Linked DNA regions of Notamacropus eugenii. The protein of the gene in region 1 interacts with the protein of each later gene in a pairwise test. Links are inferred from orthologs where the notes say so. Each region holds a gene or a part of one and is shown in the gene's direction. Other genes may lie near its edges.

Evidence for each region.
Region 2: the proteins of PLEKHF2 (region 1) and HSPB7 interact in binary tests that used the Homo sapiens proteins (3 or more experiments, as listed by UniProt). The two-hybrid records come from large-scale screens. The link is inferred for Notamacropus eugenii from reciprocal best matches to the Homo sapiens genes PLEKHF2 and HSPB7.
Region 3: the proteins of PLEKHF2 (region 1) and FRMD8 interact in binary tests that used the Homo sapiens proteins (3 or more experiments, as listed by UniProt). The two-hybrid records come from large-scale screens. The link is inferred for Notamacropus eugenii from reciprocal best matches to the Homo sapiens genes PLEKHF2 and FRMD8.
Region 4: the proteins of PLEKHF2 (region 1) and UBE2Z interact in binary tests that used the Homo sapiens proteins (3 or more experiments, as listed by UniProt). The two-hybrid records come from large-scale screens. The link is inferred for Notamacropus eugenii from reciprocal best matches to the Homo sapiens genes PLEKHF2 and UBE2Z.

Annotation. Positions count from the first base shown.
Region 1 is NC_092875.1:157,846,275-157,854,255, reverse strand, and holds the start of PLEKHF2 (pleckstrin homology domain-containing family F member 2), read left to right. Parts: upstream 1-4,964; 5' UTR 4,965-5,103; intron 5,104-7,981. UniProt on the Homo sapiens protein: May play a role in early endosome fusion upstream of RAB5, hence regulating receptor trafficking and fluid-phase transport. Enhances cellular sensitivity to TNF-induced apoptosis.
Region 2 is NC_092876.1:55,464,854-55,472,348, reverse strand, and holds the start of HSPB7 (heat shock protein beta-7), read left to right. Parts: upstream 1-4,491; 5' UTR 4,492-4,687; coding exon 4,688-4,874; intron 4,875-6,091; coding exon 6,092-6,228; intron 6,229-7,495.
Region 3 is NC_092873.1:18,166,271-18,173,157, forward strand, and holds the start of FRMD8 (FERM domain-containing protein 8), read left to right. Parts: upstream 1-3,871; 5' UTR 3,872-3,973; intron 3,974-4,560; coding exon 4,561-4,645; intron 4,646-6,887. UniProt on the Homo sapiens protein: Promotes the cell surface stability of iRhom1/RHBDF1 and iRhom2/RHBDF2 and prevents their degradation via the endolysosomal pathway. By acting on iRhoms, involved in ADAM17-mediated shedding of TNF, amphiregulin/AREG, HBEGF and TGFA from the cell surface.
Region 4 is NC_092873.1:352,110,294-352,118,174, reverse strand, and holds the start of UBE2Z (ubiquitin-conjugating enzyme E2 Z), read left to right. Parts: upstream 1-4,866; 5' UTR 4,867-4,929; coding exon 4,930-5,237; intron 5,238-6,810; coding exon 6,811-6,883; intron 6,884-7,881. UniProt on the Homo sapiens protein: Catalyzes the covalent attachment of ubiquitin to other proteins. Specific substrate for UBA6, not charged with ubiquitin by UBE1. May be involved in apoptosis regulation.

The DNA of each region.
Region 1 (7,981 bases):
AATGTAACTTTCAAACACAAGAATCAGGAGAAGCATGAAAAGGTAAACAGGAAGGAGAAATCATAAGGAACTTACTAAAGTTGAATGTTTACATTCCTACATGGAAAGACAATATTTGTAACTCTTGAAACTTTTCTCAGTATTTGGGTAGTTGGAGAGATTATACACACACAGACACACACACACAGATATATAGATAGAGGGCACAGAGTGAGTTGAATAGGAAGGGATGATACCTAAAAAAATAAAATTAAGGGGTGAGAGAGGAATATATTGGGAGCAGAAAGGGAGAAATGGGGCAAATTATCTCTCATAAAAGAGGCAAGAAAAGGCTTTTTCAATGGAGGGGAAATGGGAGGAGGTGAGAGGGAAAAAGTGAAGCTTACTCTTATCACACTTGGTTTAAAGAGGGAATAACATGCACACTCAATTTGGTATGAAAATCTATCTTACACTACAGGAAAGTAGAGGAGAAGGGGATAAATGGGGTTGGGGGATGATAGATGGGAGGGCAAATGGGAGGAGGGAGTAATTAGAAGCAAATACTTTTGGGGAGGAACAAGGTTAAAAGAGAGAATAAATGGAAGGCAGGATAGGATCGAGGGAAATATAGTTAGACTTACACAACATGACGATTATGGAAGTCTTTTGCAAAGCTGTACATGTATAGCCTATATCGAATTGCCTGCCTTCACAGTGGGGATGGGTAGGGAAGTAGGAAGGGAGAAAAGTTGGAACTGAAAGTTTTAGGAATGAATGTTGAGAATTGTTTTTGCATGCAAATGGGAAATAAGAAATATAGATAATGGGATATTGAAATCTATCTTGCCCTACAAGACAAGACAGAAGATGAGGATAAGGGAAGGGAGAGGTGTGATAGAAGGGAGGGCAGATTGGGGAAGGGGTAATCAGAATGCACGGCATTTTGGGGTGAGGGAGGGGAGAGATGGGGAGACAATTTGGAACTCAAAATTTTGTGGAAAGGAATGTTGAAAACTAAAAATAATGAACATTAAAAAAAAGAAAAAGAAAAAAGAAAGAATTCACTGATCACCTCCTGAAAGAGATTCCAAAAGGAAAACTCCTAGGAATATTGTAGCCAAATTCCAGAGTTCCCAGGTCAAGGAGAAAATATTACCAGTAGTCAGAAATAAACAATTCAAGTATTGTGGAAATTCAATCTGGATAACATAGCAGCTTCTACAGTAAGTGATCAAAGGGCTTGGAATATGATGTTCCAGAGGTCAAAAAAAGCTAGGATTAAAACCAAGAAACATCTACCCAGAAAAACTGAGTGTAGTACTTCAGGGGAAAAAACAGAATTTCAATGAAATAGAGGAGTTCTTATTTGTATCCTTAGTGCTTTGTATAGTGTTTATGAAATGGAACTGAATCTCAAACTTTACATGTCCAGACCAAAACTCATTATTTTCCCCAAACCTACTCTTCCTAACTTCCTTAGTTCTATAAGTAGTTCCGTTATCCAGCTTGAAAACCTTGGAAGTACCTTTGGTTTTTCAGTTTCCCTCACACCTGATATCCCATTAGTGTGGCCCATGCTGGAGTTAGGAAGAACTGAGTTCAAATCTGACCTCAGACACTAACTTATATGATCCTGGGTAAATCACTAACTTCTGCTTATCTCTGATTCCTCATCTGCAAAATAGGGATAATAATAGCACTTACCTCCCAGGGTTGTTGTAAAGATCAAATGATAATTATAAAGTACATAGCACAGTGCCTGGCACACAGTAAATACCACAAACATTATCTCTTCTTTTGATTATTCTCATTATGCCTTGTTGATTCTACCTCCATAGCATCTTGGATGTATCTCCTCTCCACTTACACTTATGGTTCCATGGACTATTTTGATAGCCTCCTAACTAGTCTTGCTTCCAATCTCTCTCTGTTACTACCCCATTAGCCACAAAGCTGCCAAACTGATATTTCTAAACCATAAGTCTGATGGTTTCAATCCAATGCTGAAGAAACTCTTGTGGTTCCCTCTTGACTCTAGGATAAAATACAAAGCCCTTGACATTTCGACTCTACCCTACCTCTTACTTTACATTAATCCCTTCACATACTTTAGATTCAGATCAAACTGGCCTATTCATTACTTGAACACTTTGATTTATGCCAGGAACTCTACCCTTATTCTAAATCTTGGAGTCCTTAGTGGCTTTAAAGGCTCAGCCTGTGCCACCCCCTAGCCCACATAGCCAGATTCCTCTGAGTGCTACTGTCCTTTCCCCCACCAATTGCTTTGTTTTTAGTAAGTCAGTCAACAAACATTTCATGCTTATTATGTGCCTAGCACTGCGCTGAGTGATGGAAATGCAAATAAAACCAGAGTCCCTGCTTCTCAAGGAGTGTTCCAATAGAGGAAGACAACACATAAAAGGGAGCTGGAACGGGAGAAGAAGGAATCCCGGGATGCATGGTAGAAAATGTCCAGTGGATGTGAGTGCAGCCTGAAGAGGGGATGAAGACATTTTTGGCCTGAATCTCTTCTTTATATTGGTGGTTCTGAGAGGAACTGGCCAATCAGCAGATGAGGACATAGGGATGGAGGCTGCTTCTAGTGTGAAGAGGTTTCTATGGCCTGCAGTGGTGAGTCAGTGATGCAGTACATTCTGTATTTATTGCTGAGTACGTCTTGTTTCCTTCAAGAAAATATAAGCTTTTCAAGGCGAGGTTCTGTTCCATTTTTGTCTTTATATGCACAGTGTCTGGCTCGGAGTAAATGCTTAATAAATGTTATTGAATGAATTAATGAAGTTAATTGTATATATTTTAGTTTCTCCGGCTCAATAGTAAATTCCTTGAGGTATTTTTATGTATTTCCTTGGTATTTACCTATTACAGTGGAGCTCAGTCAAAGCTTGTTGAATGAATCAACTCAGTTCCTAAATGGTTTAACAATGAATAATACAAATGGCATTATATTTTTCGGGTGAGGAAAAGAGGTTAGTTGAGACCAGAAAACATTTTATAAGATTTACGACTGCTTTGAAGCAGCGTGGCTGTATCCTGGATGGAGATCATACTGGAGGAAGACCTGAATTCAAACACAACTCTGATTGATTCTTGAAGAGGACCAAAATGACACCATCATGATAAAGTCAAGTTTCTGTGGCTGATCAGACCAATACTAGCTGGGAACGCTCTACCACAGATATCCCGTGTGAATATTTGGGGTGGATACTCCAAATTTGCACATCCTATGTTTCCTTTGAGTTACTTCAATTCTGCTTTGCTCATGCAGCACAGCACCCTTTCTGGTGCGGGCATACCATGCTGAGCGCTCCTGTGCCAGTGTCTCCCATGTCCCACAATCAATTCCAGTTCACACTTGAGAGTGTCCTTGTATCACCAACGTTACAGAACAAGGGCTGATATGCATTGGTAGAAGTTTTTCCCCAAGGAGGTCCCTCCCTAATACAGGTGAAATGAAAGGTGGGGGCACAAGTCAATTATTTAAATATAACGCCTGGTTTTTCTCCAATCCCTTCATTTTACAGATAAGAAAAGTGAGGCCAAGACTAAGTGACTCACTTAAGGCCACAGAGGTAAGTAGCAGAGTTAGAATTTGAACCCAGGCCTTTCTCCCTCCATATCCAGACCACTTTCCACTTAACTTTGTCATTTCACTGAATCAGCAAATGGAAAAGGCCCTAAAAGGGCCCGCTCCCATCTCTGGATCGCCCATTAATGTGGAGAAAGGAGAAGAAATGACCAAGGCATGTGAGAACCTCTTTCTACAAGACCTTTGCAGGAGTCAATACCTTCCTTTCCTTCTGCAGGCCAATATTTTTCATTTGGGGGAACACCTAAGGGCAAGGAGGTGGCACAGTATGCAGGGCACCTGGCCTGGAGGCAGAAGACCTGAGTTCAGATTCAGCCAAAGACACTTACTAGCTGTGTGACCCCATCTCAGGTTCCCCATCTATAGAATGAGCTGTAGAAGGAAATGGCAAACCACTCCAGTATCTCTGCCAAGAAAGCCCCGTGGGCCACAACAGCCCAGGAACTGATTTGGCAGACAAACAGATGAGGACCCAGAGAAAGAAAGGCTAACCCACGTGCCCAAAGGCACCAGGTTCCATAAACAGCGAGCAGGTCCGACCTGTGACCAGGTAGGCATTTATGTGTGCCAGGCACCCCTCGGGCACAGCACGCCGCCCAGGGCGCAGGCTTTCCTTTCTTGCCTCCCCTTTTCAAAGAGAACGTATCCTGGTACTAACCATCCTTTCCGCAGCGCTTTAATACCTCATTGTATCCCCCTACCAGCCTTGGAAGGTAGGAGCTATTATGATCGGTCCCGGGTTTTACAAAGGAGGAAACTGAGGAAGGGTTGACGCGCGGCCCGCCGCGCCGCAGCCAGAAGGTGCCCGAGACAGGACTCGATCTCCAGGCTTCCGGGCGGCGGGCGCCGCGGCTCCATGAAGTGCCCACTGTGTGCCAGGGTCTGTGGCGCACTAGGCCTGGGCCCCACGCTCGGCCAGGGCACCTTCTACTATCGCTTTTACAGGCGGTACCAGGAGACCCACCGGCACACCACCTACGTTAGGAAGAAAGGCACAAGCCCCGCCCCAAATGGCGTCGGGACCCTCCCTTCCTCGCTCTCGTCCAACCCCACCCTTTGCAGGCCTAGGGGTGGGCGGGGACTCCGCGGCTCGCCCCGCCCCCCGCGCCTCGAGGGCGGGGTGGGTGTGCTCTGAAGTTGTCGCGCACGCGCCGCTGTGGAGGAGGCGGTTGAGGCCGTAGTTGACTGGAGAAGGAGGTGGCGGCGGCGGCGGCGGCGGGGGGCGGGGGAGTCTTGGGAGAGGCTGTGAAGAGTCACCTGTGAACGAAGGGCCGCCCGCTGCGCTCCTGGCTCGGCGGGTCCGGATCGGGGTCGGCTTCGAGCGGGGGCCCGGGCGGCGGCTGCGGCGCCTCCTCCTCCTCCGCGGAAGCCCCTCGCACCGTCGGAGAAGGGCTCGCGCTGCTCCCGGGGGAGGGCGGCCGGGCGGGGACGCCGCCAGCCGCCGGCCGCTCTCAGCCCCTGCTACCGGGAAGCTTTCGAGCCTCGCTGACTGCCGCCGGGCGTCCGGCCGGGTAGGTGCCTCCGGCGGCCGCGAAGAGAAACTTTCCGAGCTCTTCCTCCGGCGCGGGGAGCCGTGGTCCTCCCCCCTCCCGGGCGGCGGCGGCGGCGGTGTCGGCCGACGCCATGTTGGGGTCTGGGGAAAACGGGGCTCCCGGCTCCCTCGCCGCGCCTCGGGTCGGGCGCGCGGGAGCCCTGCCTGTCGTGGGGCCGGGGACCACGGGCCGAGGGGAGGGGGTCGGCCACCGAGGCTTCCGCCCTCCCTAACCCACCTCGGCGCCTCGGGTCCGGCCCCGGACCTCCGGCTCCCCGCGGTGGAGGCCCGAGCGCGCGCCCCGGGACCCGAGGCCGGGGAGCCGATCTCAGCCGGGTCGGAAAGAAGTGGCCCCGGCGTGGCCGGGGCGGGGGGGCGGACGCCTCCGTCCAGGAGTCGGCTCGTTGGCGCCCCGGGGTCTCTCCGAGGCCGATGGTGGTTCCCCGACTTGATTTCTTTGGAGGCTTTTAAAACTCAGGGTGTTGTTTGCCAGGCTCTGCCCTATTCCTGTTGTACGTTTGACTGTAGAGGAGCGTACAGATTGCGATTAACCAGGGACATTACCTGTATATTTTTGCTGCATATTATTGCAAATTACGTTAAAATGATAGTTGGGTTTTTTCTTATACAGTCGGAGATAGCCTAAAGACATTTAGACAAAAAAATCAGCATGTGTAGACCTGTCGTCCTCGAAATAAAGTGAAGCGAGTTAAACACCGACAAGTAATTTTTCACTAGTTCTGGGAGCTGCGTGTGTACCGCATTCCTAGTTCAGTATATTTGCCCCTGTTGTGGCCTTTGGTCTCTTTATAGGGAGTTGAGGTTATTCAGCATTACGAAACCCTGGGTTAATTTTTCCTTCGGAAGGCGCTGACAACGATGGGATAAAACTATATTAAACATTACCTTTGTATTAAACGATACTTACCATCAGTCACCAATTTGCTTAAAAATAAAAAAAAACCCAACTGAAATAGGATATTTAAATAGGGTAATAACACTTAAGGATTTAAGTATCCTTAGAAATAATCCCTAAGAAACAAGTGGTCATAGAGACATGGAAAGTAGGGGAAGAAGCCATCTGGATCTGGTCCAACTCCTCATTTTACAGATGAAGAAGCTGACCTGGGAAGGTTGCAGCTTGCCCAAAGTCTCAAAGACGGAAGGCAGAATTTTAATTTAGGTCCTCTAATTCCATAACCATTGCTCTTTCCATTGTTCTACACAACCTGATGTACTGAATGAAAATTTTTTTAAGGCATCATTTTGATCAGAAATGTGTTGCAGTTCACCAGAGTTTTGAGAATGAAATTGTTTGCTCTTTTTTCGTGTATGTGTTATCTTTAACTGAATCTTAGTATCTCACAGTAGTTATATTTAGAAGGTTGTGGAATGAAATGATTGACCTTTGAAACTCTTGTCACTCTGTGTGTTAAATACACTTAATAGTTTTTTCCCTTTTCACTCTGTCCAATTGCTTCAAGATTTGTGTCCACAGTAGTATGAAAATCAGCTACCAAGTATTAGAGCCCCTTCTTTAAATGCAGACCCTTTTCCTAAGATGCTCAGTTGAAAGACCAAAGGTAGGATGCCAGATCCTGGAGTGAAATGATTGAGAACTTTTAAAAAACCTAATTACATGAATTAGTATGTCAATAGGGCATAGCCACAATGGCATTTCTTAATCAAGTCCTGATAGTATTTGTGTCCCTCTGTCTTTTCCATGAAATGGATGAAATCAAAGCTAAAAGAGGGCCATCAGTGATGAATACCAGGAGTCTGAATGGTGATGTCCTTACTAAGTACAGCTCAGTTTTAAAGAGTTAAATACAAATATTCACACTAACTTGAAAAAAATTGGGCAATGACTGGGACAAGGCCTGTAATGCCATGCTTTCTAATGAATAAGATTGTTTTTGTATTACTGCTGTAAATCCATATTTTTTTGTATAGATAACAGGCTGAACTTTACTATTATTATTGTTGAGGACTAGAAGAGACCTTTGATTTCATTGATATCATGAACTCCTGTGTGAGAAAATGCCTTCTCTTAAAGCGGGTAGACACCTTCTCTGAAACATAAGAGTATAATAGAGTTGCCTAGATTCACAAAGTAAGTGTGTTAGAGACAGAATTTATATCCAGGTATTCTTGGCTTCAAGACTGACTATCTCTTCTTCTGTCTCTCTTTACCAGTATTGGAAATGAATAAATCAGACATACATACATAGATTTTTGACCATGTGACCCACTGTTGAAAAAACAAAACAACTGAGGACATCTCTGCTCTAGGACTTGATAGATTCTTCATCCTATAGAATGTGCTTCCATTTGTTAACCATATTTTACCTTTTCACAGCCTTACTGAAAACCCATCTTTCCTGATTGAAATCAATTCTCCCTAAACGTGTTTTAGTTTACTTATTAATCCTCATCTCCTTGAACATAGGAGATATATCTTGTCTGTATGAGGAATCCTTAATACTGAATACTATGAACTCAGTGAAATACCATTAGCTTTCTTCCAAAGTTGTTTTAAATGCATAGACATACTCAGTCTATTTGGAAACTTTCAGAAGACTAATTTGGAATTTCTTTGGATGACTTGGTGATTCAATATTAAATTGCAGTTACTTAAATATTTGTAGAAGTCTTGTAGGTATCAAGGAAGGTGTGGTTACTTAAACTCAACTCTACACCACTAACAAGGGAAATAGCGGATCTCCATAATGATTGTATAGACATCCCTCACTAAATTTGCCCTAGCCAACTTCATTTCATAATTCTATACTTAGGAAATAATCAACCTAACAGTGTTGCTATAACGGAGACATCAGATAATCAGATGATCAAGTCAC
Region 2 (7,495 bases), on another chromosome or scaffold:
AGGGGTGGAGTGGGGGTGCTTTCTCATTTCTCTTCCTTAGTGCCACAGTAGTAGATGGAGCATCAGGCCTGGAGTTGGGAAGACTCATCTTCCTGAGTACAAATCTGGCCTCAGACATTTATTAGCTGTGTGACCCTGGGCAAGTCACTTAACCTTGTTTACTTCAATTCTTCATCAGTAAAATGAGCTAGAGAAGAAAATGGCAAACTTTTCCAGTATCCCTGCCAAAAAGTCCCCAAATGGAGTCATGAAGAGTCAGACATGACTGAAATGACTGAACAACATGTCCTTTATAATGTTGCAACCTTTACTTTGGATTATGTATGTGTGTTGTTTTTCCTGTTTATTGTTGCCGTCGTTATGTATGTTGTTTCTTTGTTCTTTCTGACTTTACTCTGTATCAATTCATGTAGATCTTACCATGTGTCTCTCTATTACGTTCATTTCATTATTTCTTATAGCTCAGTCATATTTCATTATCTTCACGTACAATTTGTTACTTAGTCAGTCTCCAGTCAATAGGCATCTACTTTGTTTCTAATTCTTTATTATCACAAAAAAGAGTTTTTTTAAATAAATATTTTGGTGTATGTAGGGATTTTCTTTTTATCAATGGCCCTCTCAAGGTATTAACCTACTTACAGAACTGCTTGATCAAAGTTTATGGGCATTTTAGTCACTTTATTTGCATGATTCCAATATTGCTTTCCAAAATGGTTGTATGCATTTGCAACTCCATCAACAATGCATTGGTGTGCCTCTCTTACCACAAACCCTCAAACATTGACTTGACTATTCACATCCTTTGTTATCCTTTCCAGTTTGCAGGATGTGAGCTGAAACCCATAGTTTTGATTTTCATTCCTCTTATTATTAGTGATTAAGAGCACTCTTTCATGTAGTTGTTAATATTTTGTAATTCTTTTGAGAAATGTTTGTTGATATCTTTTGACCATTGATTTATTGAAGGAATGACTTTTAGTGACATATATGCACATGTACGTACCTATATATGTGTGTATAGGGAATGTTATGTGTATATTATGTAGATTACACACAGATATAACTATCTCTTGGATACCAGACTCTTATCAGAGAAATTTGATACAAAGATTTTTCCCCCTTTTGACTGCTTTGCTTTTTATTCTAGGTGCATTAATTTTGTCTGTTCAAAGCTTTTCAGTTTCGTGTAAAATCAAAGTTATCTATTTTATCCTTTGTAGTTGCCTCATGTCCCTTGTTCAGTTGAGAATACACCTCCTGACTGTATCGATGAGAGGTACCTGATTTGTTTCTTTTCTAATTTTTTATGGTATGATCTTTAATATTATAGTTGTGTACCTATTTCAAATTTATTGTGAAACAAGGCATAAGGTATTAGTCTAAATTCAATTTCTGTCAGATTCCTTTCCAGTTTTTTCCAGCAGTTTTCATCGAATGGAAAATTCTTTTTCCCCCCCAAAATGGGTATTTGATTCCCATTGTTTCCGGTCCCCCTTTTTAAAGTGTCTTCCACTAATCTATCTCTCTGTTTTTGAACCAATTTCAGATAGCTTTGATGACTTGTTTTTAATATACTTTGAGATTTGAACATACTCTTCTTCCTTCATCCCTATCACTTTTCATAATTTCTCTAGATATTCTAGATATTTTATTTTTACAAATGAATTTCATTAGTATTTTACTAAATTCTGTAAAGTATCCCTTTGGAAATTCAATTGGCTTAGCATTAAAATTGAAAACGAACTTTGGTGGCATTGTCATTTTTACTATATTGGTACATATATCTGGCCACTGGACCTAAACAGTTCCAGAAAAGAAAGCAAGGCTAGTGACTCTGCATAGCCCTCCTCCATTTAAATCCAATTCACTTGCATGTCATGGCCTCACCTCCCTGGTGTCATGATCTTCTTCAAGAACAAACAACAACAACATTAGTACAATCCAACCATGTCTACTGATATTCCTCCAGTTCCTTAAGTTATTCTTTATTTCTTTAAAGAACACTTTGTAATTAAACCTATACAATCTTTTGTGGGCTTTGGTGCATGGATCCCCAAGTTTTTATGCATCTTGTAGCTATTTTCCTTTCTTATTTCTCCTTGGATTTTGTAATTATCATATAGAAATGCAGCAGATTTTTGAAAATTTTTTTGGTAGTCTGCAACTTTGCCAAACCTATTAATTGTCTGAATTAGTTTTGTTGCTTGTTATCTAGGGATTTTCAAGTAAACAATGTCATCAGCAAGTGAGGATAGCTTTATCTCCTCTTTATCTATCTTTACGCCTTCATTTTTTTCTCTTACCTTATTGCCATGACTATCATTTTCAGAACTATAGCAAATAATAGTGGGGAGAGTTAGCATCCTTGCTTTACTTCCGTAATTACTGGAAAAGATTCTAGTGTATCCCCATTGCATATGATGCTTACTTTTGGTTGAAATTCATTTTTTTCTTGATTACTCCTAACTTCCCCATTTCTGTCAAGGGTATCATCCTCATCCTTCCAGTCATTCCAGTTAGGAACTTAAGAGTCATTCTGACTCTTCATTCATTACACCCTCCAGATCAGCTGCCAAGTCTTGGTTAATTCTACCTTCATAACTTATAACTATTCCTAATTTTTTTCTACTCCCACATCCTGATTAAAGTCCTCAGTACTTTTCACCTGCACTATTGCAACAGTTATGCCAACTGGTTTTCAGGTAGTCAGTCCTTTCCCTCTCCAATCTAACTTTACAGAACTGCCAAATTAATATTCCTGAAGTGTAGGTCTGGCCATGTTATTCCCCTCCTCAAAAAATTTCAGTGACTTCTTGTTGCCTCCCATTTTACTTTTTCAAGCCCCCTCCTCCCTAGCTCCCACCTCACTTTCAGGCAGATTATACATTTTGATAGCTGTGTGAAGGATAGGTCAGAGAGGGAAGAGACTGGAGGCAGAGAGAAGAGTTAAAAGTCTGCTGCAAAAGTCCAGATGAGAGATTACAAGAGCCTGAATTAGGATGAAGAGAAAAGGGTAGATGCAAGAAATTTTGCCAAAGTAAAAAAAAAACAAAGACTTGACAGTTGATTGGATATGAGGGATGAGAGAGAAGAAAGGGTAAAGGATAACTGAAGTTATAATCCTGGGATACTGAAAGGATTCCTTAACAGAAATCAGGAAGTTAGGAAGAGGGTACGGATTTGTAAGAAAGTTGAGTTCTGTTTTGGACATGTTGACCTTAAAATGCCCATAAGTGGTTAGCGATGGCTGGATAGATCTGCATAGAAAAAAAGAGTCCAGTCCATGGAGAGATAAGATCAACAGGAGGCAGTATAGAAAAGAAAGGAAGGAGAACCCAGAATAGAACCCTGGAATATATCCATGCCTAAGGGGTGAAATGAGGATGGTAATTCTGTAAAGGAAGCTGAGAAGGAACAGATAGACAGGTAGACCAGGTAATATCAAGGGAGAGCAGGGTCATAAAAACTCAGAAAAGGAGTATCTAGGAGCAGGAGAGGGGCAATGGTGTCACATGCTCCAGAGAGGTCAAGGAAGATAAGACAGAAATGACCATTTATCTTTAGAAAAAGCAAAGCCATTAATAATAATGAGATTATGTTTGTTAAGTGATGAGGTGTCATGCCAGATTGTAATGATCCGAGAAGTGAGTATCAGGTGAGAAAATGGAGGCAAACTTTTTTTTTTCTAGTTGTTTGGCTATCCCTATAGGATAGCAACTGATGGGAGTCCTCTAATCTCAGGGGAGAACACTATCCTTGCCCTCAGGGAGCCCTAAGGCTCATGGCGGAAACACAGTCCCTAACCTTGGGGAGCCCTCAGTCTAAGGGGAGAGATATAGTCCCTGCCCCCAAGAATCCCCTCAAGTCTTAAAGGGGAAAGTCCTTGACTTTAGGGAACCTGAGTGATGGTGGGAGATAATCTTAGGTCTGATGGGTTAGGTCATATTTCCAGTCACAAATCAACAAAAGGAAATACCTGGTACACCCTGTGTCTGAAAGTGCTGAAGGGACTACCTCATTTCCATCTCCTCCTTCTCTCCCTCCATCTCAGTCTCTCTTTCCCTTCTCTTTCTTCTCCAGTTCCTCTCCTCTCCCTTTTTCTTCTCTCTCTCCTCCCCCTCTCTCCCTCCTACTTCTCCTTCTCCCTTTCCTAAACAGACCCTCATGGAAGGTTGCTCCTGGTCCAGTACCTCCATCCCTCCTATTTCCCATTCTCCCTCTTCCTTTCCTTCTCTCCCTCCTCCTCATCCTCCTCTTTCTTGTCATCCTAAACAAGTCCCCAGTGCCATCACATAAACACATCCTTTGATTCCTCCATCTTCCCTTCTGCCCCTTTCACAGCCTCCTCCTGTTATCAGCAGGACTGGAATGCTTCTGGATGAGCTCAGCTTCAGTCCCTGCTTTGGTTTGTCTGGAATGTCAGCACCAACATCTCAGCGGGAAAACCTTCTACCCCCCACGTCCCCACCCAGCAGCCCGCCAACCCCCCTCCTCCATCCTGCTACTGCCTGCCAGAAACCTATATTTAGCCAGTGGACAAGAGGGCTGGCCCAGAGCCTGGGGGGCGGCTGAGGGCCTTATAAAGCCCCAATCACCAGGGCCCCAAGCACTCCCTTAGACCAGCCCGCCTGTCCTGCTGGGTCTCCTTGCGGTTTCTGGGACAGAGCCCTCCCCCACCTAGTGAATGAGCCACAAGACCTCCTCTACCTTCCGAGCGGAACACAGTTTCCACTCTTCCTCATCTTCTTCATCCTCCTCAGCCTCCCATAACCCCCCTACTCGGGACCTGCCCATGGAGAAGACTCTCAGCTTGTTTTCTGAGGATTTTGGCAGCTTCATGCGGCCCCACACTGAGCCTTTGGGCTTTCCAGGCAAGTTGGGATAGAAGGGAGAGAAGACAGGCAATCTGGGGAGCGTAGTCTCTTTGGCACAGCTGGGAGGGAGACAGGGGCATACGGGTGTGCCTGAATCCAGGACTCTATTGGTTCCAAAAGCCTGTTGTAGCCAATTCCTCTGGCAGCAGGTGCTGTGGGAGCTTGGGTGGGGCAGGTGTGCTCACAAGAGTAGAAGTGGACAAAGGGGAAAGCCTTGCCTACAAAGGATCGGTGTGGATACAACAGATAAGTGTAGTCCTGAGAATCAGCTGTGACCCAGCAGCATAAATGGGATTCTTTGTTATTGTTTAGCCAAAGTCAGAAGACCTTGTTTGAATTCCTGGTTCTGTTGATTTCTGCGTTGCCTTGGGCAAGTCACTTAACCTCTTGGGCCTCAGTTTCCTCACCTGTAAAATGAGAAGGTTGGACTAGATGACCTCTAAAGCCTCTTCCATCTCTAACCCTATGATCAGTTCTGGCCTAGAGGGAACTCAGGGAAATGAGTGGGAATTTGAAGTGAAGAAAGCATCCCAACTGACTAGGAAGGAACCTGGGATCCTAGATCCAGAGCTAGAAGGAACCTCAGAAGCCATCAGGACCAATTCCCTCATTTCACAGATGAGGAAACTGAGACCCAGTTTAGGTGACTTGCTCAAGGTCACACAGATGGCAGAAAGAGATTCAAAGCCGGGTGCTCAGGATTCCAAAGTATTGATTCCTTGGAATGATGGGAGCTTGGGGGGGGAGGTGTTCAGAGAATACTCACTGCTGCTAGTCTGAAGGTGGCCTGGCTGGGGTGGGAGGGATGGAGAGATGTATCAGGTTTTAGAGGTAGAGGAAAAACTAGGAAAGGAGAAGATGGGGAGGGGCTACAGCTGAGACATGTGGGGCCCAGGACTGGAGGAGCTGTCTCCTGTAATCACTCTGGAATGGGAAAAAACCCAGATGCCATGGTGTAATGGAAAAAGCGCTGGATTGGGAGTCAGAAAGAGGACCTGAGTTCTAATCAGGCAAGTCCTTCAGCTCTGTGCCTCAGTTTCTTCATCTGTAAAATGAAGGGGCTGCATTAGATCATCTCCAAAGTCTCTTCCAGCTCTAGCATTCTATTGATCATCTAATGGGTATTTGGGAAAAGAAAGGCAGAATCAGCCTCCTCACACACAGGACTGAAAATCAGTTCATCTCCTATTCCCCATCCCCAACCCCTGCCACAGCAGTTCGATCTGGGGGTACAGGCAACATCAAGACCCTGGGAGATTCCTACCAGTTTGCAGTGGACGTGAGTGACTTTTCTCCAGAAGACATCATCGTCACCACATCCAACAACCAGATTGAGGTTCGGGCTGAGAAGGTGAGTAGCATTCCATCCCAATTAGATTTGAGGATCCCATCCATCCCTCCTGACCCAGTCGAGTCTGTTCTCTTCCTTTGGGATCTCCCCAGCTCCCTGGACAAGATTGGCAAAGAGAAGTGGTTAGGAAAACTCAAATGGGATTAGGAGAAGCAGAAGAGGAGAGAAATAAGGTGAAGCAGGGGCAGAAGGAGATTGGGGGCTGGGGAGAAGGGGGGAGGGCAATAGGATGCAAGGCAGCATGTAACTCACTATGACTAAGCTTGTTCTGAGAGAAGAGATGAGAAAATGAACATTCTTTCTTTGCAGAGATGAGGGACTATGGGTCTGTAATAATGCATACAGTCAGACTCAGTCCATGTGTTGGTTAGTTCCTCTGAAATGCTATTTTCTCTCCTTTTTGATTCTTTGTTGCAAAAGAATATCAGTCTGGGGAGGGGAGGGGAAAGGGACACATTTGGAAATGAAGCCCACATAAAAACAAAACGTGTCAACACCTTTTTTAAGGGGAAGTATAACAAGGGTTAAGGAGATGGAAGATGAGGGAAATGGGAAATAAGAAGCAAAGACTGGATGGGAGATATGCTTGGGAAGGACAGAGAGGGGACAGATCCCGATGGAGACAGGAAGGGAGTGGGTACCAGCCAGCCTCCAGCTCTCTTGGAGAGCTGAGAGACCCACTTTCTCAGGACTCGTAAGCTCCCTGGATCTTGGGTGACCCCACAACCTATCCCTGACCAGCCCTTGAAGCCTCTAAGGTTTGGGGGATGAAAGAAAACATTAGGCAGGCTACTTGAGGCAGTTCCGGCCCCAGGGACCTAACTAAGGTTTTCCATGCCTTACTGCTCATTTCTCAGTAGCAGTCTCTGAAGGGTGGGTGGTGGGGTGGAGGTTGGGGGGGGTGGGGTTGGGGGTGGGGGGTGGGGGAGAATGCTCTAGAAGGAAGAAACATCATATTGGTAGCCCTACTCTTTATGACCCCTTCTTTGGAGGAACTGGAAGGAGATCAACACTTCTGCCCTGGCCTCCTAAGGACACAACAAATCTGTCCACAACCTATCCCTGAATGAACAAGCATTTATTAAGACTTTACTAGATGCTCAAATAATAATAGTGATAACTCATATTTGCATAATTCTTTAAAGTTTGCAAATTCTTTCCTTGTAAAGAAAGGTAAGGGCTGTGAGAGATAGGTGGTATAAATGTCATTATAACCGTTTTACTGAGAAGGAAACTGAGCCTTAGAGAGGGAAAATGATTTACCCAA
Region 3 (6,887 bases), on another chromosome or scaffold:
GGTTGTAAGGGACAGAATCAGGCCATCCAGCTTCTTCTAATGGACTCCAGCTCTCCACCTGCCATCCCTTGCCCTCACCACACATCAACCCACCTTCTCTTCTAATCAAGGGGTTTACGCAGAAGGAAATGCAAACTAGTCATTTCATGAAGGAGGGCATTAGTAGCTAGGAGAAGCCAGGGCAGCTTCCTAGAGGAGGTGGCCCTGGAGCTGAGCTTCCAAGGAAGAGAAAGGTTCGAGAAGGGAGTTGTGAGGGATGTGGAGAGAGATGAAACCCTGGGAATGTGGAATAGCAAAAAGGCCAATTTGACCTGAATGAAGAATGGGCGAAGGAGAGACACTCGGGATTCCTCTGTGAGGTCTGCTTGTGTTTCAGCACAGAGTGACCTGGTCAGATATGTGCTTAAGAACAGCAGGGATGGATGAATCGTGATAGGATAGAGACCTAGATGTGGATTCGGGAAGACCAGAGTCCACGGTCTGTCTGGTTTACTGTGTGACTGTGATCAAATCACAGTGAGCCATTTATATCTGATACAAAAAGGGCATGAAGGATTATACCTATAGAATAAGACCTCCCCTGCCCCCAAGAATGTTATGAGACTGAAATGAGCCAATGTGGATAAACTGCTGGGAAAAACTAAAAGCAACTTTATGAACATGAGCTGGGAATACTATTATTGTCCTACGAAGCCCTGGAGGACACTGTCTTCCCCATCATCACAGGCTCCACGGAGGTCTTATCCCCTTCACCTGGTACACACTGGGAAGGGAGGGAAGTTAGGTCTCCATCAGAACTCTGCTGAATGCTTGAACTGGCCCTGAGAACCAGAGCACTGGCTGAATGGGGAAGTTAGAAGACCCAGGTTCGAATTCTGACTCTTCCACTTACTAGCTGGGATTCTGGGTGAATTGTTTAGTCTCTTTGGGCCTCTTACCTCATCTATAAAATGACGGAGTTGGACTCGATCAAGGGTTTTTGACCTGGGACCCCTGAACTTGTGAAAATAATTAAAACACTTCAAATATAATAGGTCTCCTCGGTAATCCTACACAGTCTGTATGTATATTACATATATATGTATACATATATATGCATTTAAAAACATGATTCTGAGAAAGGCTTCTCCAAGCTACCAGAGGAGTCCATGACACAAACAAGTTACAAACCCTAGGACTAGATGGTCTCTGGGGTCCTGGGGTCCAGCCCTGCCCTCACCAGTTCCTCCCTGCTTACACCCCCCCCCCCCACTCCCCCTTAGGACAGTGAGTCTTTAAGACAGAAGGACAAACAAGAAGGAACAAAGCTCTCGTATTCATGGGTAGAAGAATGGGCCCACTTCTAAACCTTCTCCTAATCCCCAACCCCGAGGGTTCTCCTTCATAGAGCTTTATTCCCACTAAGGGAGCTGCTGCCTCTTCTTAGTTAAAGGCTGGTATCTAGGACTTTCCCACGCTTGGCTTCCCTTGGGGTTGACTGACTTCATCCTGCCTCTGAAGACACCACTTACCTCACAGCTTGTTTGGTGAAGTAGCTCAGTGTCTACACTGAGATCTCTCAAGCTGGTAGGGAGCTGAGAACAAAGACCAGGATCCTCCAACCCCTTGGTATTTCCTCAGGGCCCACCCATCCACTAGGGGAAGCTAGTAGACAGAACAGCTTGTACTGTGGAAGGAGGACAGAGGTTCATCTAATGCAGCCGGTAGCTTCCAGGCAGGAGTGACTCGGTCTCTTGCCCCATGTTTCCAAGATTCCTGTTTCTTGACCATCAATATGCTGGAACAATTCAGATCCTTCCTGAACAGCTAAAGAGGTCCTTACATCACATGTGGGGAAACAGGAACATGGAACAGGAACAGAAATGACATGGGCTTGCCTGTTCGTCTTCTCCCAGTTGACAGACGCTTGCTTTCTTGTTTCTAGTTATCAAGGAAAGGGCTGCTCTGAATACCTTGGTGCATGTGCGGACTGTCTGTTTTTAAACTTCCGAAGTTCAGTAGTAGTCAATGAATAAATCAATATTTATTAAGGGCTTTCTTTGCTTTGAACAAATCTTTGGACCCGGACAATCACTAGGTCATAAGGTATTAACAGTTGGGTGATTTTTCTCACACAATTAAAAATTATTTCCCATAATGATGATACTGATGCACTATATTCAGATATCTGCCTTCCCAGAGCTCTTCAGCATTGCTGTCTTTGATCATCTTTCCTATCTTGAGAGGTATGAAGTGAAATTTCAGATTAACTTAAATTTTTCTTATTTTTAGTGTCTTGGAGGTCTTTCATATGGTGGGTGATGGCATGCAATTCTTTGGAAAACCATTCATCTCCTTTGACTTCTTATCCCTTTGCTCTCATCTATGCTTTTTTTTTTAATCCTATGTGAGTCTTGACCATATCTTCTCAGAAATCTTCCATGGAAGATCTACCCAATGCATTAGAAGTCTTCCTCTAGGTCTTTCAGCATCTTGTGGCTGTTCAAGCATAATGTGGGTTATGCATCTCTCACCCTAGCCCTCATGGGTACATCAGTTCATCTTCATTTCTGATCATCAGCCAGGAAATGTATGCCTTTTGTACAACTACCTGTGCCTAAGTCATATGGCAATATAACTGGTTATATGTTACATCCTACATATTTCTTACCATACATCTTTTGGGTCACCCATAATTCAATTCTTTGGAGATTCTGCTTTTCTATGATTTGCATCCCCAGAATATTCATGTTAAGATTTAGTTGTGTTTATCTGTCGGAGGCAGTTTGGGATTGTGAAAGCATTGTGTAATTTCTGAAAAGCAATCCAGACTACTCCCGTCCTCTCCTTCAGCTCTGGCCCTAGCTCATTCACCATTTGCAGTATCTTTCCAAGCCTCCCAGAGTCACCCAGCTAGTCAAGGAGATATCAGTCAAAGTCCTACCTAAACAATGACCCATTGTATACTCTCACTGATGTGGGTGCTCCTTCTAGCTTTATGTAAACAGGGCTTGGCTAATACTTGTCCATGTCCTTCAAAGAGTTGGACACAAGGTGGATAGGTCTTTGGGTAGGCTTCCTTGCCTTCTCCTGATATTGCTGGGGCACTGGGGGAGCCCATCAGGCAACTCTCACCCTTGCCCCATGACCAGCTCATCTGACTCTGAGGTGATAGATTCCTTCGGTGAGATCCTTGACTCTGGCTCCTCTTTGGCATTCGTGGTCCTACCTTGTAGCCTGGCCACTCTATGCCTCTTCATTGTCTTCTATGTGATACTTGAGAGCCTGCAGTGTTACAGGACTTGCAGCCCTGGAGCGAGTCATTCCGTGGCAAACCTGCCTGGCCCCTGCCATGAATGGTGCTTTGGCCATCCAGCAGGCCAAGGCCAGGACATCTGACTCCCAGGCCCCATAGTTGGGCTTCACCATGCTCCTTCACCTGGACACCAGGGAACGGCAGCTCAGGGAGGGAACGCAGGCAGCTGATAAATATTCCTTGGGCTCCAATAACTGCAGTTCTTCAGCCTTCTGATGTTTCATTACTGACCCCTTTGGGGTTTTCTTGGAAGAGATCCTGGAGTGGTTTACCATTTCCTTCTCCAGCTCATTTAAAAGATGAAGAAACTGAGGCAAACAGGGTGAAGTGACTTGTCCAGGGTCACACAGCTCTATCACACTCAGGCGCTCTAGCGACTGCAACACAGGTGCTGAGAAAACCCAGAACGAAAAAGAAAGCGCTCCTGGTCCAGTGGAGTTCTAACAGGCTCCAGACCAAAGACAGCACTCCAACACCCAAAGTGCCCCGCGGGCAGAACCACGTGGGAGGCCTAAGGGGGTGGGGCCCAACATTCTCGAAGGCGCCAGAGAGATGCGCATGCGCCACATCTCTGACCTCCTATTGGCTCTCTCGGGCCGAGGGGGCGGGAACCGTGGGGCTTGGCGCTTCCTGCTCCAGTGCCTTCCGTATACCCGAAGCCGCCCGGTCCAATTTGGGGTGAGATTCCGGGGCCAGAGCGGGTGGGGGAGACCGTCCTGGGGCGGGGGCCCTCGCCCCGCAGCTTCTTGGTGTCGGAGCTGGCTCCCCCCTGCCCTCTCCGCCTCCGCCTAGCCCTGACATCCCTGCGCGACCCTCCCTCTGGTCCCCCCCGCCCCGCTCTCCAAAGCCTCGCTCTGACTCCCGGCCCCCACCACCACCCCCCCCCGCCCCGGGTCCTCAGCCTCGCTCCGGTCCCGCTCCCCCCCCCCCCGCCCCCTCCTCAGCCTCGCTCCGGTCCCGCTCCTACCCCCGCCCCCGTCCTCACCCCCCCCCTCAGCCCGGCCCCCCTCCATCCTCCCCAAAGGCTCTTTGAGAGCCCCCCAGCCTGGCATTGACCCTCCTTCCCCCAGCCCCCTCCCTGCCACTTCTGCCCCCCCATAACTCGGGAAGTAGCTCCCGAGGGGGGGCCAGGAAGCCCCGGCCCGAATGTGGCCCCGGCCCGTGGGTGCAGCCCCTCCCCGCGGTGGCAGTTGTCAGCGCTCAGCAGTGCCCGGCCCGCAGTAGGCACCACACGGTGCCGCTCATCCTGGGCCCTCTCTCTGCAGATGGACGGAGGCGAGGCGGGGTCGGGGCCCCCGGGGCCGGCGGAGCGCTCCCACCGCAGCAGCGTGTCCTCCGTGGGAGCCCGAGGTGGGTTCTCGGGGAGCTGCCTGGGTGGGAGGAGGGCGGGCATGGGAGCTGGTGCCCGGCGCGGCCCCTCCGGCTGGACGGGAAAGTGTGTGAAGGGAGGGCCGGAAGGGTCAGCCCTGCCCCAGGGATTTCACCAGGGTACCCGTGGGGGGGGATTGGAAGGGGCAGAGACGGGAGGGGCCAGTCACCGAGGGGTCACTGGGGGTGGGGGGCCAAGCCCTGAAGAGGAGGGCCATGGGGGAGAGGCCACCCACCTGGCCGGGGCTGGGCAGGGGTGTCCAGTGTCCAGCATCGGATTCACCTTGTTGGGCAGGCCTGGAGCTCAGGAGAGGTCAGGGCGCAGACCCAGGAGCCTTCTGCGTGGGGATGGAACCCACAGAAAGGAAGCAGGAGAGTGTCTTGGGGTGAGGGACTGAGAGCTGGCCTAGAAGGTGAGAGGAGAGCAGGGGGGCTCCAGAGGGTGAAGGATGAGAAGAGGACAGCAGGGCTGTAACTTTGGAGAGAGCAGCAGGTTGAGCGGAGAGGAGGCAGAGGCCGGAGCCTGGCGATCTGCTGGGAAAAGAGAGACCAGGGAGTGAGTTTGGGGGGTGAGAGGGGGGCTAGTGGCATGGCACTTGGGGCCATGTGTTTGCGCAGTGTCTCCCCCATTAGACAGTAAGCTCCTTGAAGGTAAGGCCTGTCATTTACCACTTTTTGTATCCCTGGGGCTTAGCACAGGGCTTGGCACATTACTATGTTTCATGATATTTATTTCATGAATGTGTTTCATGAATATTTATTGATTGACCTAAATTTATGTCCTGCCTTAGACTTTTAATGACTGTGTCTGTCACTTCACCTCTGCTTGCCTCAGTTTCTCTATGTATAATGGGTATATAGAGCACCTCTTTCCCAGGGTGGCTGTGAGAATCAAGTGAGAAAACATGTAAAACACTTGGGAAACCTTCAGACACTGTCAGTGAATAGTTGGATGAGATTTTAGAAGTCCAATTTGGGAGCATCTTCCAGGCTGACCCTGGTCATCTCTACGTAGAGGCCCTAAATCGCTTTACAAAGCTGGGCTTGTCCCCCTTTTACAGGAGAAGTTGAGTCATCACAAGACTCAGCATTTGGGGCGCTGGGACTGGCTTTCCTCCTTCCTCCTCCATCTCCCCAGCCAGCTCTCTGGAGCCCCCTTTGTTTTCCTCTCCTGGTGGTGCTTTGGATGCCTCTGCTGGCTTGTGCCTTTGCTCCTTCCCTGACCTTTGTGTAAAAAGATGGCTTTCTCTGAGGGGACCTTCCTTCCCTGACCCTCCCGGCCTTGCCAAGGTTTTCTTCCCTTCATGGCCTAGCAGGTGGTTTTTAGTGGGAGTAATCCTAGGGTCAGAAGGGGCCTTCAAGACCATTTAGCTCCTTATTCTGTGGAGAGACCTGTGGAGAGCTGAAGGACTGACCCAATCACACAAGTAGTGGATGACAAAAGCAGAGTTTGATCCCAGATCCCTGAGATGCCAGGCAGGGGAGTGGCTCCATCCACGGTCTCCCAGGGCCCTCTGTGAGCTGACCTGGTGGTCAGACACTCCACATTTGGCCAGGATTGACAGACAGGGGCTGTGCCCAGGCCTTAAATGTCTGCCCCTCCCCAGACCCCTGCTCTTCCCTGCCAGTCGCTCTGCTTGGTGAGCGCTTTAGCCTCCCCACGGATGAACCCCAAGTAGAGTATTAGCCTGACTTGGAATCCCATCTCTGGCTGTTAAGTAATAGCTGCCTTCTGATGGGCCATGCTCTAGGCTAGGCCTGAGGACCCCCAGAAATGAAATGGAATACTTGAGGGGGAGGAGGGAGTTATCTCTGCAAAGGGCTATGGACTGGCTGATTTTGTGGCAGATGAACATCTGTCTGCCAGTCACTGTCCCTGGCCTCCAGATGTGCATTTCCATTCTTCTGTTCCTTCCCTCTCAGCCTGTCTGCCTCCAGCTCATTGTCTCCACTCATAATCCAGGCCCTGGTAACCCCTCACCTGGCATCGAGTCTCTGTCCTCTCTACCCTCTACACCACTGACCAAGGCACAGGTCCAACCATAGACCCTGTAGTTTGACTCCCTTCCGCCAAACTGGACTCTTTACTGATCCCTCAATTTGGTGCCATCTCCCATCTCCACATGACCCTGGAATGCCCTCCCTCCTCCCCTCTGGCTTTTAGAATCCCTAGCTTCCTTCATGACTCAGCTCAGGGGCCATTTCCTTTTCTGAATCCTCCCTA
Region 4 (7,881 bases), on another chromosome or scaffold:
TTTATATGCACCAAGATATTTATGAAAGTTCTAAAAAAAAAAAACTTCAAAATTTTTTAGCTAAAAAATTTTAATTGTGAATTTATGCTGCTTGTCAATGTCTCTTTGTGAACTTTGACCTGTTTTTGTCTGAGTATTTTAAAATATTTAATAGATGCTCTTTTCTTTTTCCTTTTATTGGTATCACTATCACTACCTCCCACACAAAAAAGCCCTCTTCTGTACCCACACAGAAAAGCTCTCTTTTGTAACAACTATAGCCAAGAAAAATAAATCAATATATTGACCATGTTAAAAAATGTAAGTTGCCTTCTCTACCTCTAGCCCACCACCTCTCTGTCAATAGGTAGGAAATATGACTCCTTGTCAGTCTTTGGGAATTAAGCTATGCTTGGTCATTGTGTTTAAATCTTTCACAGTTATTCACTTTCACAATATTGTAGCAGCACTTTTTGTAGTAGCCAAGAACTGGAAATAATGTAGATGTCCAGTGATTGCAGGATGGCTAAGCAAACCGTGGGACACAAATGTAATTTAATGTAATAATACTGAATTGTAATCAACAATGAACATGAATGCAGAGGAGCATGGGAAGATACACATGAACTGTTGCAAAGTGAAGTAAGCAGAACCAGATTATACACAAGGACAACAACTTAAATAGAAGGAATGACAACAAAACAATCTGAATTAAATATTGTGAAATTCTAATAACCAAGCTTGGACCCAAATGAAAATCAATCAATAAAATTCACTATATGCTAGGCAGTGTGCAAAAAGACAAAAGGCAATCCCTGCCCTTGAGGAGTTCAGTCTAACGTGAGGCAACACAGAAGCAACTATGTACGAACAAGTGACATATAGGAAAATTGGAAATAATCAGTAGCAGAAAGGCACTAGATTTAAGAGAGATTGGGGATGGCTTCCTATAGAAGGTGAAGTTTTAGCTGGGACCTGAAGGAAAGGGGAGATGAGGGGAGGCAGCATTCCAGGCATGGGGGACATCCAGTGAAAATGCCCTGAGTGGAGAGATGGAAAGATGGAACAGCAATGAGGTCAATGTCATTAGTTTCAAGAGTATATGGAGGAGGTATAGTGAGTCATAAGAAGACTAGAAAGGCAAGAAGGGGGCAGGTTATGAATGGTTTTGAATGTCAAATAGAAGATTTTCTATTTGATCCTGGAGGTGATAGAAAACCACTGGAGTTTATTGATTGGTGGTGACTTGGTCAGACCTGCGCTTTAGGGACATCATTTTGACAACTAAGTAGAGGATGGATCGGGGTGGGGAGATACTTGTGGCAGGGAAACCAACCAGCAAGCTATGGAAATAATCTGGGCATAGGACCTGAACCAGGGTGGTATCAGTGTCAGCAGGGAGAGAAGGAGGTAGCAGTGTCAGAGTTATATGGAAGAAATGTTACAAAGGTAAAATCTACAAGCCATGGCAACAGACTAGATATGGGGGGTAAGAGAGTGGGAGGAGTTGAAGGTGACACCCAGGTTTGGATCCTGGTTTACATCCTTTTAATTATTTTCTCTTAATGTATAAAAATCTCTTTTCTCCTGTATTTGGGGTTCAGTGCCAAGCTGAGGAGGCCTGGTCCTGATTCATGCAATTGGCATGCATTATTAAATAAGTTGATATGTTCAGAAGCTTAAACTTTGTTTCCTTGGTTATTTCAGATTATACCCATCACATAACTTTGAGGAGAGCAGTTTTAGCTAAAGATTGAATGAGGAGATTGGAAGCCTGATTGTAGAAAGAGTTGAGAGCGAGAGAAGTAGAGGCATCCGTTGTAGAAGGCGTTCTCAATGAATTTAGCTACAAAAGGCAAGAGAGGCATAGGGCAATAGTGGGGATGGATGGATCAAATGAAAGTTTTTTGAGGATGGGGGAGACATGGGCATATTTGTAGGTAATAGGGAAGGTATCAGTAGATAGGGAGAGTTTGGAGATAAAAATGAGAGAGTAAGGATAAGGGAGGCAATCTACTGGAAACAGGATGGAATGGGATCACTTATGCATTTAGAAGTATAAGCCTTGGCAAGGAAAAATGCTAGTTTTTCATGTGAAACAGGGGTGAAGGAGGAGATAGTGGCAGAAAGCATCTGAGTAATATGAGATAAGGAGGAAGAGGAGGAGAGAAGAGTGAGCTCTTGGTCAATGTCCTCAATGTTTTTCAGTAAAATATGAGGCGAGGTTTTCAGCTAAGAAGATTTAGGGAGGAAGAGTAATGAGAGATTTAAGAAGAAATGAAAAGGTTTGGAAAAGCCACTGTGGTGAGTGGGATAGTGAGTTAATCAGGGAAGAGGAAAAGGATTGCCTTGCAGCATTAAGGACCCAGCTGAAGTTATGTAACAAATTTGTAGCGGACTTAGTAAGGCATTGTGATGTTCTCCACCTTTGTTCAGCAGCCTATGTGTAAGAGTGAAAGCAGGACTTGGAAGAGGGAGCTCAATCTTAGATTTGGTTGAGCCAAGACTGGCCCCCTGCATGGGGGGGCAAAGAACCCAAGGAAAGAGGACAACATAGAGTTGAACTTGTTCACCAAGGGGTGAAGATGGGGAAAGCAGGAGAGTGAAGTGCTAGTTCAGGGGTGATCACCTGGTAGAGCAGTAAGGATGGAAGGATTGGAGCTCACAGTGTAGATGAGGATCTATGAGAAGGCACTTTCCTGCCCCCTCCTTATAAAAGTAGAGGATAATGGGTATGAACCTTACAATCCTTTTTGGTCACCTTCGCTAAAATTTTTTTTTCTATTTTTTATTATAAGAATCATAGATTTCGAGCCTGAAGGGAACTTAGATGTCCCTTCTAACCTTAGGGTTTTTTTTTTATTGGAAGCAATCAGGGTTAGGTGACTTTCCCAGGGTCATACAACTAGTAAGTATGTGATCAAGCCCAAGTTTTCCCAGATGTCAAGATCAGAGCTATATTCAATACACCAGGATGCCTATCAAAGGAAGGGGAGGATAATATTGGGAAAATGAAGGTAATGTAAAAAAAAAAATCAACAAAATTTTATTTTAATTTTTATAAATATTTACATAAGGATAAGAAATATGCCTGATCAGGGACTAGGAGGTTATCCTTTAAGGCAGAGGAGTACAGAGGCCTTGTAGGGGGTTACCTGAGTTTTGTCTTTTTATAGAGGATATTGGGAGTAGTGAAATGGAAGGTAGTAACAGAGACCCTTGGACTCCTGAGCAGTGGCTTGGTATTCGGAGCAGGGGCCCTAGCCAGGGATTTCTTTAACATCAGACAAAGTTTAAGCAAGTGTGTCTAAGCTTGTGTCTTAAGAATTTTCACTGGTGTCATTCACCGGTGAACTGTGGCTCTAGGAAGAGGTAACCTTTTATATTTACCCTTTAGTCAGGTTTCCAAGGAGTTACAGTAGGCTGTACCTAAGAAAGGTCAGAAAAGGATTTAGCTCCCGGCTAAACTAATCCGGTTCTTAAAGGGCTGGGCAGCTGTTTCAGAGGCTTGCCAGGAGCCCCAAAAGACTTCACCCAGTGAAATGGCTGTCAACTCTGAATTCCAGTAGGCTTTTTCTTGAGAATTTCCCTGAGATGTTCAAGCCTTCCCATAGAAACCCTGGCTTGGAGGAGTCCTCTAGAGAGCCAACCGGAATGGTAGGGAGAATGGACAGACTCCTAAAAAGCTTGGATTCAAGTTGCAGGGAAGACCCCAGGCCAAGGAGAAATCAAAGGTGGACAGGATGTGAGCTACTACATTTTCATTCAGCAGTTGAGAAACAGTCCTTACTAGGTGTCAGTTCTACTTACTCAGGGTTCTGGTAGCTACTAAGTTTTTCTTCCAAGAATGTGTGGGGAAGGGTCCCACTGAACAATCCACCTGCCTTTACCCAGTCAACCTTGTCCCCAGTGGCACGCATTCAAGATACCTAGAGCTGGGAGCCTGTGGAATAAAAAGAACACTTCCTGGAGTCAGAAGACTAAGATTTGGAGTCAGAAGATTCAAATCCAGAATTCCAGCCTCTGATACCAAGAACCAGTTATCTTCCAGAGTCTTATTTACTTAACCGAGTCTCAGTAGTTCTTTAGAAGAATAAGACTGGTAACTTCCTTTACCTGAGAGGGTGATAGTGAAGACAGCCAGCCCTTTGTATACAAATATGAATTACTATTTTTAAGAGAGCACACTGATGAGCTAACGTGGAGGGAGGGTTACAAAGAGAAGAGAGGAGGTACTGAGTAAGGGTCCCCAGAAATCCCACCCACAGTCCTACCCTGCAGACAACTAGATCTTTATCCTGCCATAGTAGATAAGAGTGCATCCCACTTAGAGATACCTAAGAGAGATGGGGTGTGGGGGGTGGTGGTGGTGAAGTGGGATATAAATCTCCAATCCTCCCCCATTCTCTCTTCCGATCCCCATTAAAAATATCTTAGAATCATAAGATTATAATTATTAGATCATAAATATCATAAGAATTGGAAGGGGCCTTAGAGATAATTTGACCCAATCGCCCCATTTTACAGATATGGAAACTGAGATCCAGAAGGGTGCCAAAGATTGGTCTTCCTTTTGGGGAAAGCTGGAGGGCTAGCTCTGGTCTGCAGGCATTTTCCTTCCACTTCAATGGATACAAAGGTGCTGATCCCTCCTTCCCCCTCCCAGGGACTGCATTCCCGGGTCTTAATCCCGGGAGAGCCAAAGAAGCGCCCCAGCCCAGCTCGGAGCCCTCCGTCCCTCCGCCCCTCCCGTCCTGGAGGACCTCGGGTGGACACTCTTGCCCCGTGCTTCTCGCTGGTTGGGGCTGGGCGGAGTCTGTGGGACCCGGCCGGGGAAGCGGAGGGTGGGACACTCTGGCCCGGCTCTCGGTGGTGTGGGGGAGGAGGCGGAGGGAGCGGCCGCTCTGGCCGGCGGACTCGTTGGCGTGGAGTCCCGGAAGCGGAGCGGCGATGGCGGAGAGTCCGACCGAGGAGGCGGCGACTGCCGGGGCCGAGGCAGCGGGGACCCCGGGCCCGGGCGCGGGCGGCGGCGGCGGCGGCTTCGGGCCGCACTTCCTACCCGACGTGTGGGCGGCGGCGGCGGCGGCGGGCGGTACCGGCGGGCCAGGGGGAGGCCTGGCCCCACTGCCCGGGCTCCCGCCCTCGGCCGCTGCCCACGGGGCCGCGCTGCTCAGTCACTCGGCCTTCTGGGACCCGACGCTGAGCTCGGACTGGGACAGCGAGCGCGCCGCGCCGCAGTGCCTGCTGCGGATCAAGCGGTGAGTGCGGCCGAGCGAGGGCCCGCCCGGCCCGGCCCGCCGCAGCCGCCGCTCCTCGCCCGCCCGGCCCGGCCCGGCCCCGGCCCCGGCCCGGGGGCCTCCCGAGCCCCTCGCCCAGGCTCTCCCATTTCCGATCCTCCCTTTTTGTCCTCCCCCCTTCGTTCTCAGCCCCCTCCGCAAATTCTCCCATTTCTTCTCCCTCTCTCCAAAATCTCCCCTTTTTCCTTCCTGCCCCCCCAAATCTTTCTCCAGCCCTAACTTTTCCTTCATTTCTTCTCTCCAACATCCCTCCCTCCTACTCGCCCTTTCTTTTCTTCTAACCTTCCCCTCTTCTCCACAACATCCTTCCCTTGCCCCGTTCCCTCTTCGCCACCCCATGCTGTCTTCCCTTCGCCCCTCTTTCTCCTCAAGTCTTCTCCCCCCTCCTTTCTGTCCCTTAGCCATCCCCCTACCCCATCCCGCACTTTTCTTTTTTCCTGGATCTTCAATTCCCTTACAGCAGGTATATACCACAGAAAGGGACTACAACCTTTGTTCCTGGAGGACAGCCTCCGGTCCTGAAACTTTTTTGTCCCGTTAAACGATTGCTTCTGCCCTCCTCTTTCCCTGGCCAGCTCTAGCCCAGTTATCCAGAAATCCCTAGGCTCGGTACCCTGTAAGTTGATGCCGCATAAAGACCTTTTATTCTACGGATGAAAATGTCCCTCCCAACCTTAGAAATTCATTTTCCTTTCCCAACCTTCGTAACTTCTTAATCCAACCCCCAGCTACCTTTTTTTATATTTCTGCGCCCTAGCTTTCTGTACTGTTTGGACTAAATCTTTATTTTAGTGATTTCTGGTTCCTTCCCAGTTAGGCATGTTTCACCGGGGATGTTGCGTCTTGGCATTAACCTCAACTGCCCCTAGTTCTGGAATGAGGCCCAAGGAGCCACTTGTAGAAGTCTTTGTATTTAATCTTCCTAGTGTATAACTCCCGGTAACCTCCAAAAAGCAAATTCCTCGTCCCCTCCCCCCCATTCCTTCCTAAAGATAAATCAGTGTGTTTCATTACATTGGGCTGTTTCTTGCACAAACTTTTGTCAAACCTCATCCCTCACCCCACGTCCTAGGAAGATTCTCTTCTACACATTTTTGTTGTAAAGTAAGCAGTCATATACTTGTGTATCTTTTGAATTAGTTGCATTTCGTTACATTTGAATTTGCTTTTTTTAGTTGGTCATTTTATTTACAATTCGTCCTGAATTTTTTTGCATCTGGAAATATTTGGTAGTGTGCAGTAAATGAATTGTCATGTTAATAAGGTGTTTTTCACACTGATTTCTGATACCATTGTGATATCCCATTTTCCTTCTTCTCACCTCCCTCTCATGAAATAGTGCCCCTTCTGATAACACTTGAATTTCTGCTTCCTTCCCCTGTATCCAACCCGAGAATATCTGGCCTGTGAGCCAATGCAAAAACACTTGTGGTACCAAGCACTTAGCTCTGACTCCTCTACCATTGATATCAGCAACTGCTTTGCACAAGGGCTTTCCCACCTTTACCCCTACTTCACCTTTGTTGTTATACAGGGACATCATGTCCATTTATAAGGAGCCTCCACCCGGAATGTTTGTTGTGCCTGATCCCCTTGACATGACTAAGGTAGGTGATTCCATGGGGGCATGAGTTTAGTTTTCTTTTCCCTTGACCTTCAGATAGATAAATATTGTTGTCTATCAAATCCAGGGAGAATTGGACACCAGTCTCTGCCTGGATTATGGCTGTGTTTAGGGTTTTGACTAGGTTACCATTAATAATGCCTTGTTTGGCTCCTGCAACATCAAGAGCAGGAAATATTTATTTAGTCTTCTGCTGGATACAGCATAATGTACTAGGTATTGGGGGCTGCAAAAGTTAAAATAGCCCCTGTTCTGAAGAAAGCACCCTGAAACCTTACTGAGGCTAAGGTCTAAACCTAAAATCCCCAAACCCTTAGACACTTTGGCTTCTCTGCTATCCCTAGCCCCACCCTTGGAAGTAGATTCACACTTAAACCTTTGTTTGGCAGAAATGAGTTGCTTAAAGAGCACACCTCTGCTTTCATATTGCCTGAAGCAAAAATTCAGCCTGTAAATTGGTAGTATGGGCCTAGTTACTTTGAGTAAGCTTGACTTTTAAATTTATTTTTTTGTCTTTCATGTGGTTGAAAATGTTTTTACTGGCATACTTTATCTCTAGTAAAATGCCAGAGACATTAGCTACATAGCCCTTTAGGTCCCAGAATTTGTGTCCTGTTCACACCAGCTGAGTTAGCTATACACAGTGATCCTAGGGGTGCAGTTTGGGGGATCACTTGGGCAGTGTGTGGGTTCAGTTCTAAGGGGCATTGTGTTAAAAGTGTTCCTCCCCTTGATTTCCAAATTCTCAGCAGATGCCTTTGAACGTTAATAAGATGTCTAATTTTTCTAGTCCTAACAGTGTATGAATCTGATATAAATTTAAGTTCTCACATCCAGGGAAGGAGAAATTGGCCATTAATTATGACTGTAGATTATAGAAATCCCCATTTCTGAAAATTGAAGGTCCTTCGAAAACCTAGTTGTAGAATGCTGCTTTATAGTCTTCCTCTTTGCAAACTCCCCTCCCCCTAGTTTGATCAA